Linked DNA regions of Drosophila melanogaster. The protein of the gene in region 2 interacts with the protein of the main gene of each other region in a pairwise test. Each region holds a gene or a part of one and is shown on either strand. Other genes may lie near its edges.

What was found.
Region 1: the proteins of CG13032 (region 2) and Marf1 interact in a two-hybrid assay, tested with the Drosophila melanogaster proteins (one large-scale study listed by BioGRID).

Annotation. Positions count from the first base shown.
Region 1 is NT_033779.5:22,309,768-22,315,054, reverse strand, and holds the start of Marf1 (meiosis regulator and mRNA stability factor 1), read right to left. Parts: upstream 3,129-5,287; 5' UTR 3,017-3,128; intron 1-3,016.
Region 2 is NT_037436.4:16,672,293-16,677,203, reverse strand, and holds CG13032 (uncharacterized protein), read right to left. Parts: upstream 3,241-4,911; 5' UTR 3,057-3,240; coding exon 1,659-3,056; intron 1,603-1,658; coding exon 1,229-1,602; intron 1,171-1,228; coding exon 960-1,170; 3' UTR 940-959; downstream 1-939. Other genes in the region: zetaCOP (coat protein (coatomer) zeta), read left to right, coding at 3,705-3,722, 3,780-4,147, 4,660-4,750.

The sequences.
Region 1 (5,287 bases), on a different chromosome or scaffold from region 2:
GAAGAAATATCCATCAATTTTGGGCGGTTTTAGGGCGTTAGAGTGGGCGTGGCAAAACGTTTTTTTTTGGGAAACGATAGAAATTTATTTTGGCCGGATAAAGATTTTCGTAGATGAGAAGTCTGCTTCCGCGATTATTTTTGATTACGGAAACAGTTAAAAGGTACGAGAGAGCATCATCACTATGAATGATGGCAATATTAGTTTTGGTAAATCAACGTAGGTGATTGGAAGGCCTCGATTTACTTTTCTTGAGACTGCCTGATGCCGGCTTTTATAAACTTTTTAAGCTCTGTTCTATATCTTATTTGATGATCTTTAGTTTTTGTGAAGAACTGACGTCATCGACATACACGTAGCATGTTTATTTAAGATCTGTTCCGCAAAGCATCATCGATTGTCCTTTGGAAAAAATTTGGTGCAATTTGCAGTCCGAGTGGTGCAGAATGCAGTTCTGTAGTTCTGTAGAAATGCAGTTCGTCATTAAAAAATATTTCAGGGGTTTCCCTGTATTTCTCTAATTACTCGATTTGATGGAATTACGATTTAAGGTCCGATGTTGTAAAATGTGGAGCTTTTCCCATAATTTGAAGTATTGTAAAGTATTCAGCGTCAATAGCGTTCTTTAGTTTCTTAAAATGGATAACGATACGTTTTTCTTATTGCCATTTTCACAATGTCCTTTTTTATCGAAAACACACACGCGGTTGTTGTAAGGTTATCTCGATTTTCTGATTATGACCTATGCGATACGCCCATTGGGAAAAGGTTATTTTTAATAATTACGCGTTCCCAATCGGATTGGATAGTAGCGATTTTATTAAGGAATGGCTTGATAAGGGTCTGCAAATGTCCCGGTCCCGGTTGCCAAGGCCCTCGACGATTCAATAATACAATTATCATTATTGTGCCGCTTTCATGTTCTAGAGAATTCTTTACGAAAATAATATTTGCATTTACCTTCTTAACAAAGTCCAGTCCAAAATGAGAAATAAGTGGCTAAGACCGCATATGCGTTTTCCCCACTTTATTGTGGACCGGTAGTGCCTGAAAACCGCATAGGTCTCCAATTCCCTTGACTCCCTTGACTCCCGAATTCGGGCAAAGAAGTTTGCTCATAGACATCTACGGTTGGGGATGTGACCTAGGAAGCTAATTAATTTTCTTTTCAAATATTACTTTGCTTTCATGGTTACCTGAAATGTATACACATTTTGTACTCCCTGGTTACATTAAAACATTACATGTGCTTTTTTTTTACTAATTTGTTTTCAGATTTTTGAACCTTGCTGAAGTTCATTTTCACACCTTTCCAAACTTCTGCAGAATTTGTTAAGATTTTGTACATTGATTTTTCTTCAGATTTTGTTGACAATATTCAGAATTTCGTTAAGTAGTAGTTAAGTAACATTTCTTCCGAATTAGAAAGCGCTGCAATCTTAATAAAACCAAACTGAATCCTCATTTATAATGGTTTCTTAATGACTCCGCCCCATTTCTGTCATCGCCGTCTGTCCGTTGTTCCAGGTCACCTCCAACACCTGTACCATCACACAGCATTTGGATTACTTAAAGGATTACCTTTTGTAGGCGGAATATAATTTTTCCAAATTACCAACGTTTTTCCGCGGCATAGAGTTAAAAAAATGTACATTTACTTTATGCGAAGAAAATCTAGGCTCAACAGGCTTTCCAGGTAATTATTAATCGAGGGAGCGTATGGTGATCTGTCTTAAGCGGTTAACTTTAAGCTTGTAATTTTCATAATATATAGGAAGATGAGAAACACAGCACTCATCTTATACATACATATTTCAAATATATATTTTAATACTAGGTAATACTTAATACTTAAGAGGTAAGACAAGAAATTACGATATAGTCGAGTTTCTTGATACCGGATACTCAGATAGTGGGAGAGCACAAGAAAAATGTACTGTTTCATTTTATTAGGTTATCGATTAAAATTGTCAAAAAAACTGTAGACAAATAAAATAATTTTTCGAACGTGTGGGCGGCTTGAAGTTGAAGTGGCTTGAAGTAGAGTGGCCGTGGGCAAAATTGTTTTCGCATATAGATTCTGATCGAGTGATAACAGCAAACTATCCAACAACAATTCGACACCTGTTTAGGTTCATGATATAAAAAAATGCTTCCACGAGCAGGATTTAAGATCATCCGCACAACTATCACATCATTAATTTTTTGTACAATAAAAAATAAAGATATTTTTTTCTAAGCTTAAGCCATGTGGTGTATGCTCACTTCATACTGTACATATTTTATAGGCTCGGGAAATTATACGAAAAGCGTGCATAATGAGCCATTTTATTTTATTAACTCGAATTTATTTAATCTGTTTTAGCCCTAGCTTAAATTGTTACGTATGTTTATGTGTACATCAATATAAATCCCAACACTCTTCATAAGATGCACGCGTAGCAACACGACACATCCTCCTTTCCAATCCACAACACACATCAATATCAATTTCCAACCAATTTGGTTGGAAAACAGTTTCAATTCAACTATCTATATGAATATGAATATGTGTTTAAAATCGTCGGATTTTGTGAATACTAAACGAAAAGGAAATTTAAAATATAATATCCGAATTGGTTTCAAAACTTGCGAAGTGCTGCAGACCATCAAAATAAATGTGCTTATGGTTGAATTTGGGTTGCATTTTTATCGTGCACTATACAAATTCTACATGAATTTAGTTTTAAGCCATTTTCTTGGCATACATGTGCGTACATAAAAATGTGTATGTATATGTATACTCCCGCGCGAAATGCAGTCAATGTAATGTTCGTTAGCACTTGTTTAAGTAATTTGCCTAGAGCCTTAACCAGTCATTGGATTATTAAAATGATTAAAATCGTTATTCATAGATCATTCTTAATTAATATTGGTACTATAATCATAGGCTTAGATTAAGTAATATAGTAATTCAATTAATATTTTACTAATGGTCATGCCACTAAGAATATTTATTAATATTTGTTGTACTTACATGATTGTATATGAACTAATTATATAATTTACGACAATAAAACTCAAAATTCACTTAAAACAACACGGCACATGCGAAGCTTAGACTTTGTGATCCCTTAAACAACTGAGGAGGCTACGTGTGTAGAAAACATTGATGACTTGTGTGGAGGCTGGAAGGTGGCGGGCATAGGCACTGGAAGGTGATTGAAAAGTTTGGGGTTAATTAAATTTTTATTATTTTGATTAAATAATTTTTCTTTTTGTAGTTTTATAAAATTGTCTTGGCTCAATTGTAGTTTCTTTAACAAGCACCTTGTTCAACAAACAAAAAAAAAATAAAAAAAGGAAAAATTGGGAGGAAATTCAATTCATCCAATGAACTTACAGATATACAACAAGAGAGAATGCTATAGTCGTTTTCCCCAACTATCAGATACCCTTTACTCAGCTAGTATGAATGCAAACGCGAAATTTTTATCATTTTTGTGGGATATCGATAGATATTGGGGAATAAAATGAGAAGTAATTAAAAATTGTTCAAATGTGTGGGCGTGACCACTTCGGCGGCTTCTTGGCGTTACAGTGGGCGTGGCAAAAAGTTTTTGTCAAATCGACTAATAACTGACAGTTTTGGGCGGCTTGTGGCCGTTAGAGTGGGCGTGGCAATATGCGTCAACAAACTTGCGCTGCGTCTATGTCTCTAGAATCTGTATGCTTAATCTCAACCGTCTAGTTCTTATATTTCCTGAGATCTCGACGTTGACACGGACAGATCGACTCCGGCTATTGATCCCTATCAAATATATTTATACATATGTAAGCTCTATACAGTCGGAAACGCTTTCTCCCGACTGTTACATACTTTTCTACGAATCTGGTATGCCTTTTTGACTCCACGAGTGACTCTTATAACTACCAATACAATTATTTACTACAATATTTTGGCTCATCGTGATATTACAGACTTTACTATTGCACAGAGTGAGGGAATTTATAAAGAACATAATAATTTTGGATTGAACAAATTTCTCGAAATCCGTAATAAAACTCAAATCCTTATCTGAATTCAAAATCACACAACTTCAATACAATTGGGTATTTGTATCAATATCCACCAAGTTACCCACAATATTCTCAACCCTTCCATCCTAATTTTAATCAATACCACCCAATTATTTCAAGTCCAGCCCATATATCAGCATTCAACCAAGTATTCCCAAAAGTCATTTCCAACAAATCCAAAATCCTCAAACAGCACATTTTATAAGAAATACATACCCTCAACTACAATACAACAAGCCTCCACAACTAAGAATTCTAACTTCAAAATGTCTATTGACGAAATGAGATTCCAAGACGCACATGAATTCGAACAAGTCCAACCTAATTATTACGAACAACAGTATTATGACCAAAATCAATACAATCCATATCAAAATCATGGGTTCATAAATGAAGGGCAACAACCGATCCAACCCGTACAAATTAATAACGAAATATTATATATCAAAATATATATATATCAAAATGGTTCTGAACTAAACGAAAATTTTCGGTCAACGGCCCCGACAACACGAATACATAAAAATAGTATACAAAGGGTGCACATACAAATGCCTACTAGATACAGGATCAACAAATAATATGATCAATGGAAAATACATATCAAAATAGTATATGTGAAGTTTTAACATCAAATGCCTACTACTTCGAAAAGCTTGATTATCTTACCCAGCAATAGTATTTTAAAAATAAATCAAACATTTCATGTACACAGTTACGATAATTAGCATATCGTAATTGGTAGAAAATTGTTGACAAATGCGCAATCAGTTAGAAATTAATAAATAATTAATTACCTCAGAATCGGAAAGAACCCAGAATTTTTATATCCAAAAAACACCAATCCAATTACAATCCTGATTTATATCAGGAATCAAAAAGAAATTGATTTTTCACAATATCAATTACATCATCTAAATAAGGAGGAATATTTTAAATTGAGAAGTTTATTAAATAAATTTAAAAATCTTCAATATAAAGGAGGAGATAAACTGACATTTACAAATACCATTAAATAGGTACTAAATGCAACACATAACTCCCCAATTTATTCAAAACAATACCCCCTTCCGGAAACACACCAAATTGAAGTAGTAAACCCAGTACAGGAATTGCTAAATCAGGGAATAATGAATCCTACCTGGGTAGTACCAAAAAACAACAAAATGTATCGAAATCCATGATGGTATAAAACCGAACCCTCTTAAAATAAAGCCATAGATTCATA
Region 2 (4,911 bases):
CTAACACAAATTTCCCCCGAGTTTTCTTCGGCTTTCTGAAAGCTTTTCGCATTAGCAGCAATCCACTCGGATTCTGATCGCGTCCTTATCCCTACAATTTTGTCAATTTATCTGTGTAAACGAGGAGGACTTGAAGGATATTGTTCTTGTTTTTGCGGGGGAAATTCATGTTTTTAATATATAAATATTTTTGTTAAGAGAATAATAATTATATATTGTTTGTTTCTAGTGTTAAATTGAAGAAAGAGAATAAGGTGGAGATATCGTTTCGTTTCACAAAAGAAATCCTTGAAAGTGCCTTTAATTTGCTAAAACGTGTTTTTTAGATAAAACCAATTTACTAGGCTTATCAATAATAATGCATTAAAGAATCAATAAAAAAAAATATACTTATACTGTAACTTATACATTTTCATACCATACGCGAGCAATGGAGAACGAATTTCTAACGCAAATAATGAAGCAATTTACAAACGGCAACTAAAACTAATTTAATATGTGATTGCAGGATCGTTTTTCTATGGCAAGTCAAGCTATATATAATGTATTATTAACTTAACTTACAAGACACTCACACACACACACACACACACACATGCATAGCTATAGACAGCAATTAATAACAATTATATAGGCATAATGCAATTGGAAATGCTTCGAGTGGAAAGAAATCACCTAACAAATACTTGAATTAATCTAATCTTATCCTGAAATAGAAGCAGCGCCAAAGGCTTCGTTTTGTGAACGTGTTACAAATCAAATAAAAATTTATGAAAATTTAAAACTCATTGTTTTCGGTACTTCAGAATCAATGATGTGCATTGCAATGCCATGCAAGTTTAATAACATTCCAGTTACATATAAATATGTATATGGCATGACTTCTCGTCCAGTTTTTTTAGCATTGCAAAGAACATAAAAACTAATCAAAATAAAAATCGTGGTTTTGTTCATCTTCATTATTGAATGGAAGTCTCGCTCGTGCTTTTATCTGCATTTTTGCTACGATCGCTCAATCCCTTTTCGCGAGCTCCAAGTACAGTTTCAAGGATAATGGTCTTCGTACTGTTGATGGTGTCCTCGAAAAATTTGGCATCTGCGTTCTTCTCCTCGGTGATATACTCCAGCTTCTCTGTCAGCATTGTGATTTTTTCCTTGGCCAGTTCAAGACTGAAAATATAAGTAGTTATAGTTGATTAAGCGATGGGATTGCCGTGTCCGAACTTACTTATTCTTTAGATCCTCTATTCTGGGCTCAGGCTGTCCTGCCGAATTCAGCGTATTTGTGGACTGGTACTGGGACTGATTTTCGAAGCAGAAGGAACCAATCGATCCGTTAAGAGAAGTGCGACTCAGCGAACTGGCGTAGTCGGCCATTCGCTGGGTGCGTTTCTTCTTATCGGACTGCACATCGAGTTCCTTCTCCAGGTCCCTGATCTTGACCTCCAGTCGGCTGATACGGGCCTTTAACTTGCCAATCTGCTCCTGAGCTGCTTCGTTCTTGGCTCTCTCCGTCTCCAGACGATCTCCTAGAGTTTTGGTGAGCAACATAAGCTGATTTTTCTCCACCTCTAGAGCATCCAGGATGCCCACAAATTCCTCCTGCGGAATATAATTAAGCAAATTAATAGCTTATGTTTTAGTGTACAGAGTTTTACCTTTCGAAACTCGCGGCAGGAGAAGAGGAATCCGCCGGATAGGGCGCGCAGGTCCATTTCCAGCTTCTTGATCATATCCTGCAGACTGGCCATGGCCACATCCTTCTGCTTGACCACCGTCTGCAGCTCCAGATGCATACCGCTCAGCTCTTCCATTTGCCGGCGCGAAAGATCTCGCTCCTCGGTCACCCGGACCAGCTCGCCGCGCATGTCGTCCAAACGGTTCTCGTACTGAATCCTCTGCTGGTTCAGTTTGTCATTCATGGTATTGATATTGGTGCCATTGAAGTCGGTCTGCTCCTCCAGCTCATTGTATAGAATCTTGTACTTGTTCATCTCCTCGTTCAGATTCTTGTTCCTCACCTTTAGGGCGAGTGTCTTGCTGCGTTGATCCTCCAGTTGGTTTTGCAGGCTAAGAATCTCCTTTTCCAGAGCCTCCACCTTGGCTCGATGAAGAATCTCACTTTTACGCACACCCGGTGTAAAGCGATCGAAGCTGGCCGTTGTGGCTCCGCCGCCATCGCCTCCACCTAATCTCTCAGAGCTGGCATGATGTGATCGACAGCTGCCGGTTACCAACTCCAGATCCGAACCCAACGGCACTGGGGCAGCATATTCGGCTCGATCTACGGCTCGGTCCTCGTAGAAATCCAAGCGAGCCTTGAGCTCGTGCACTTTCTGGTTGAGCGCGATGATCTGCTGAGCACGACCGCGCCAATTGGCCTGATTAAGATTGTTGGCCAGGATGTTGATGTTGCAGCTCTCACCGATCTCGTGCTGCAGGCACTTTTGGGCCAGTTTCAGTTGGCTTTGTAGCTCGGTGTTCCTGTTTCGCGTTTCGAAGAGCTTCTGCTGCATACTGTTGATCTTGGCTTGGAGCTCATCGGGGGAGCAGCCCTTTTTTGGCAGATCCTGATTATGCTGCAGCTTCTCCTCGTGCGCACGCAGCTCCTTCTCCAGCTTCTCGATCTGAGCATCCTTTTTACCCAGCCGACTCTTTGCCTGCTCCAATTCGGAACGCATCTGGCGGTTCTTCTTGCTCAGTTCCAGGATTTTGGTGCTGGCAATGGAGGAGTTGCAGCGCAGCTCATCAATGGGCACGGAGTTGAGCACCTCGTTGAGCGAATCAACCGATTTCTTCAGGTCGGATATCTCCTGATTCTTCTCATGAATGGCCTGGGCCAGTGACTGCTTCTCCTGCTCGCATTCGGATAGCTTTTTGCGCAGCTTTTTGGACTCCGGCTTTGTTGGCTTTGGTTTTACCACAGCGGTGGTCAGCACCACATGGGCAGCGGCCATGGCATCATGGTCATGCCGACGTCGAGAGGAACGGCCCACTTTGCACCCCAACAGCTCCTGATCCCGATGGGCTACATACTCTTCCGGCAAAGTCTCCATCGCAATGCCCTCTAGTTGTTCACATAAAAATATACACAATTGAATCTAACAATTTCGTTGGCTGGGCGAAAATAATTTGTACGTGTGCCTGTTCTTGTTACTAAAATATTCACAAATTTTGGTTGTCATCAGTTGTTTCTAGGTTATTCAAATTTAAACCTCATTTGAAACAGACAAATCAAAGGCAAGGCAATTTTTAAATTTGGAACTCTTGTCATAATCAGGATTTCTTCAATAATAGGTAAGTTAAAAATAAACAGAGTTTCTGCAATAATAAAATTGACATTGACAATTCTTTTCTTGATCTTTCCAAACTGTTGTTTTATTTAAGACAGGATAATTTACATTTAAACCGTTATTCTTTTTTTACATTTACATTATTTTATTTTAAATACCCCAGCAAAGTACGGCCAACGTCAAGCAAGCCAGCCCCCCATGTGTTTCAAATTATAATTTAAAATATAATAATAAAACAACGATAACGGCTTAGCTAAAATTCAAAAATTTTAACAGTTTTTCTAGATAGTTTTAACTGTATCTAGCTATTTATTTTGTGACTCGAGTTGGCAGTACTGTTTAGTTGGTATAATTTAGCGGTCGCAATATGGTCATACTAAAGTGACGTGTAAGACACGAAAACAAGTGAAGATGGACGGATTTATGATGGTAAATTGCAAAATACACAAGTAACTGGCTTAAAATCAAACCCAACATGTGCTGCAGGATATCATCAAGGGCATGTGCATCATGGACAACGATGGCAACCGCATCCTGGCCAAGTACTACGACAAGAACATCCTGTCCACGTTGAAGGAGCAGAAGGCCTTCGAAAAGAATCTGTTCAATAAGACGCACCGCTCCAACACGGAGATCATTATGCTGGACGGACTCACCTGCGTGTACAAGAGCAACGTGGACCTCTTCTTCTACGTGATGGGCAACGCCTACGAGAACGAGCTCATCCTGCTGTCCGTGCTCAACTGCCTCTACGATTCCATTAGCCTGATCCTCAAGAAGAACGTTGAGAAGCGCCTGGTGCTGGAAAACCTGGAGATCATCATGCTGGCATTTGACGAGATCTGCGACGGAGGGTGTGTATTAGCGTATACAGTGATGGATGGAAAGAACAAGGGACCAAGTTAAAGCAGCTTTCATTAGCAGCAGTTCGTTTAGAAAACATCAAATTATTACTACACAAGTTCCCATAAATAACATTGTTATTTACTAGTCTATGAGTTAGGCCAGCTCAAGTGAAGCCTCTAAGTAGTTAACCGCATTTAAAGCTTCCTTTTTTTTAACAAAACCTAGTCAAGTCCAATGAAAAGTTATATGATAACTGCGATGTTAGGGTATAGGTACAAAAGTTTAATTATATAAATCAAACTAAATATTAAAATATATTAAACTTAAAGATTAAACTAATACATACGAGCACTGGCATCCTAGGCATGCAGCTCGTATAAGTTTTTAAGTTTATAGGCTGAGCTTTAGAAATCACCTGAGGTACAAAAAGATATACTTTGCCATTCATCACTGTATATTATGCATTACATATTATTAAATACAAATATTCTATTTAAACCTTTACCCGTTTTCCAAATAGCATTATTCTGGATGCGGATCCCTCGTCGGTGGTGAAACGCGTTGATCTGCGCAACGATGACATTCCCATTGCCGAACAGACCGTTGCCCAGGTAACTAACACCCTTAATGGTCTATTTTGGTAGTCTAACTACTTGGTAGCTCTTCTAAGTGTTTATAACTCAATGGTAGCCGTTTGTACTTTAATTTTGTCTGGTTTCGTTTCGCAATTTGATACCCTGCAGTCAAATATATTCTCATTTAGTTTTACCCG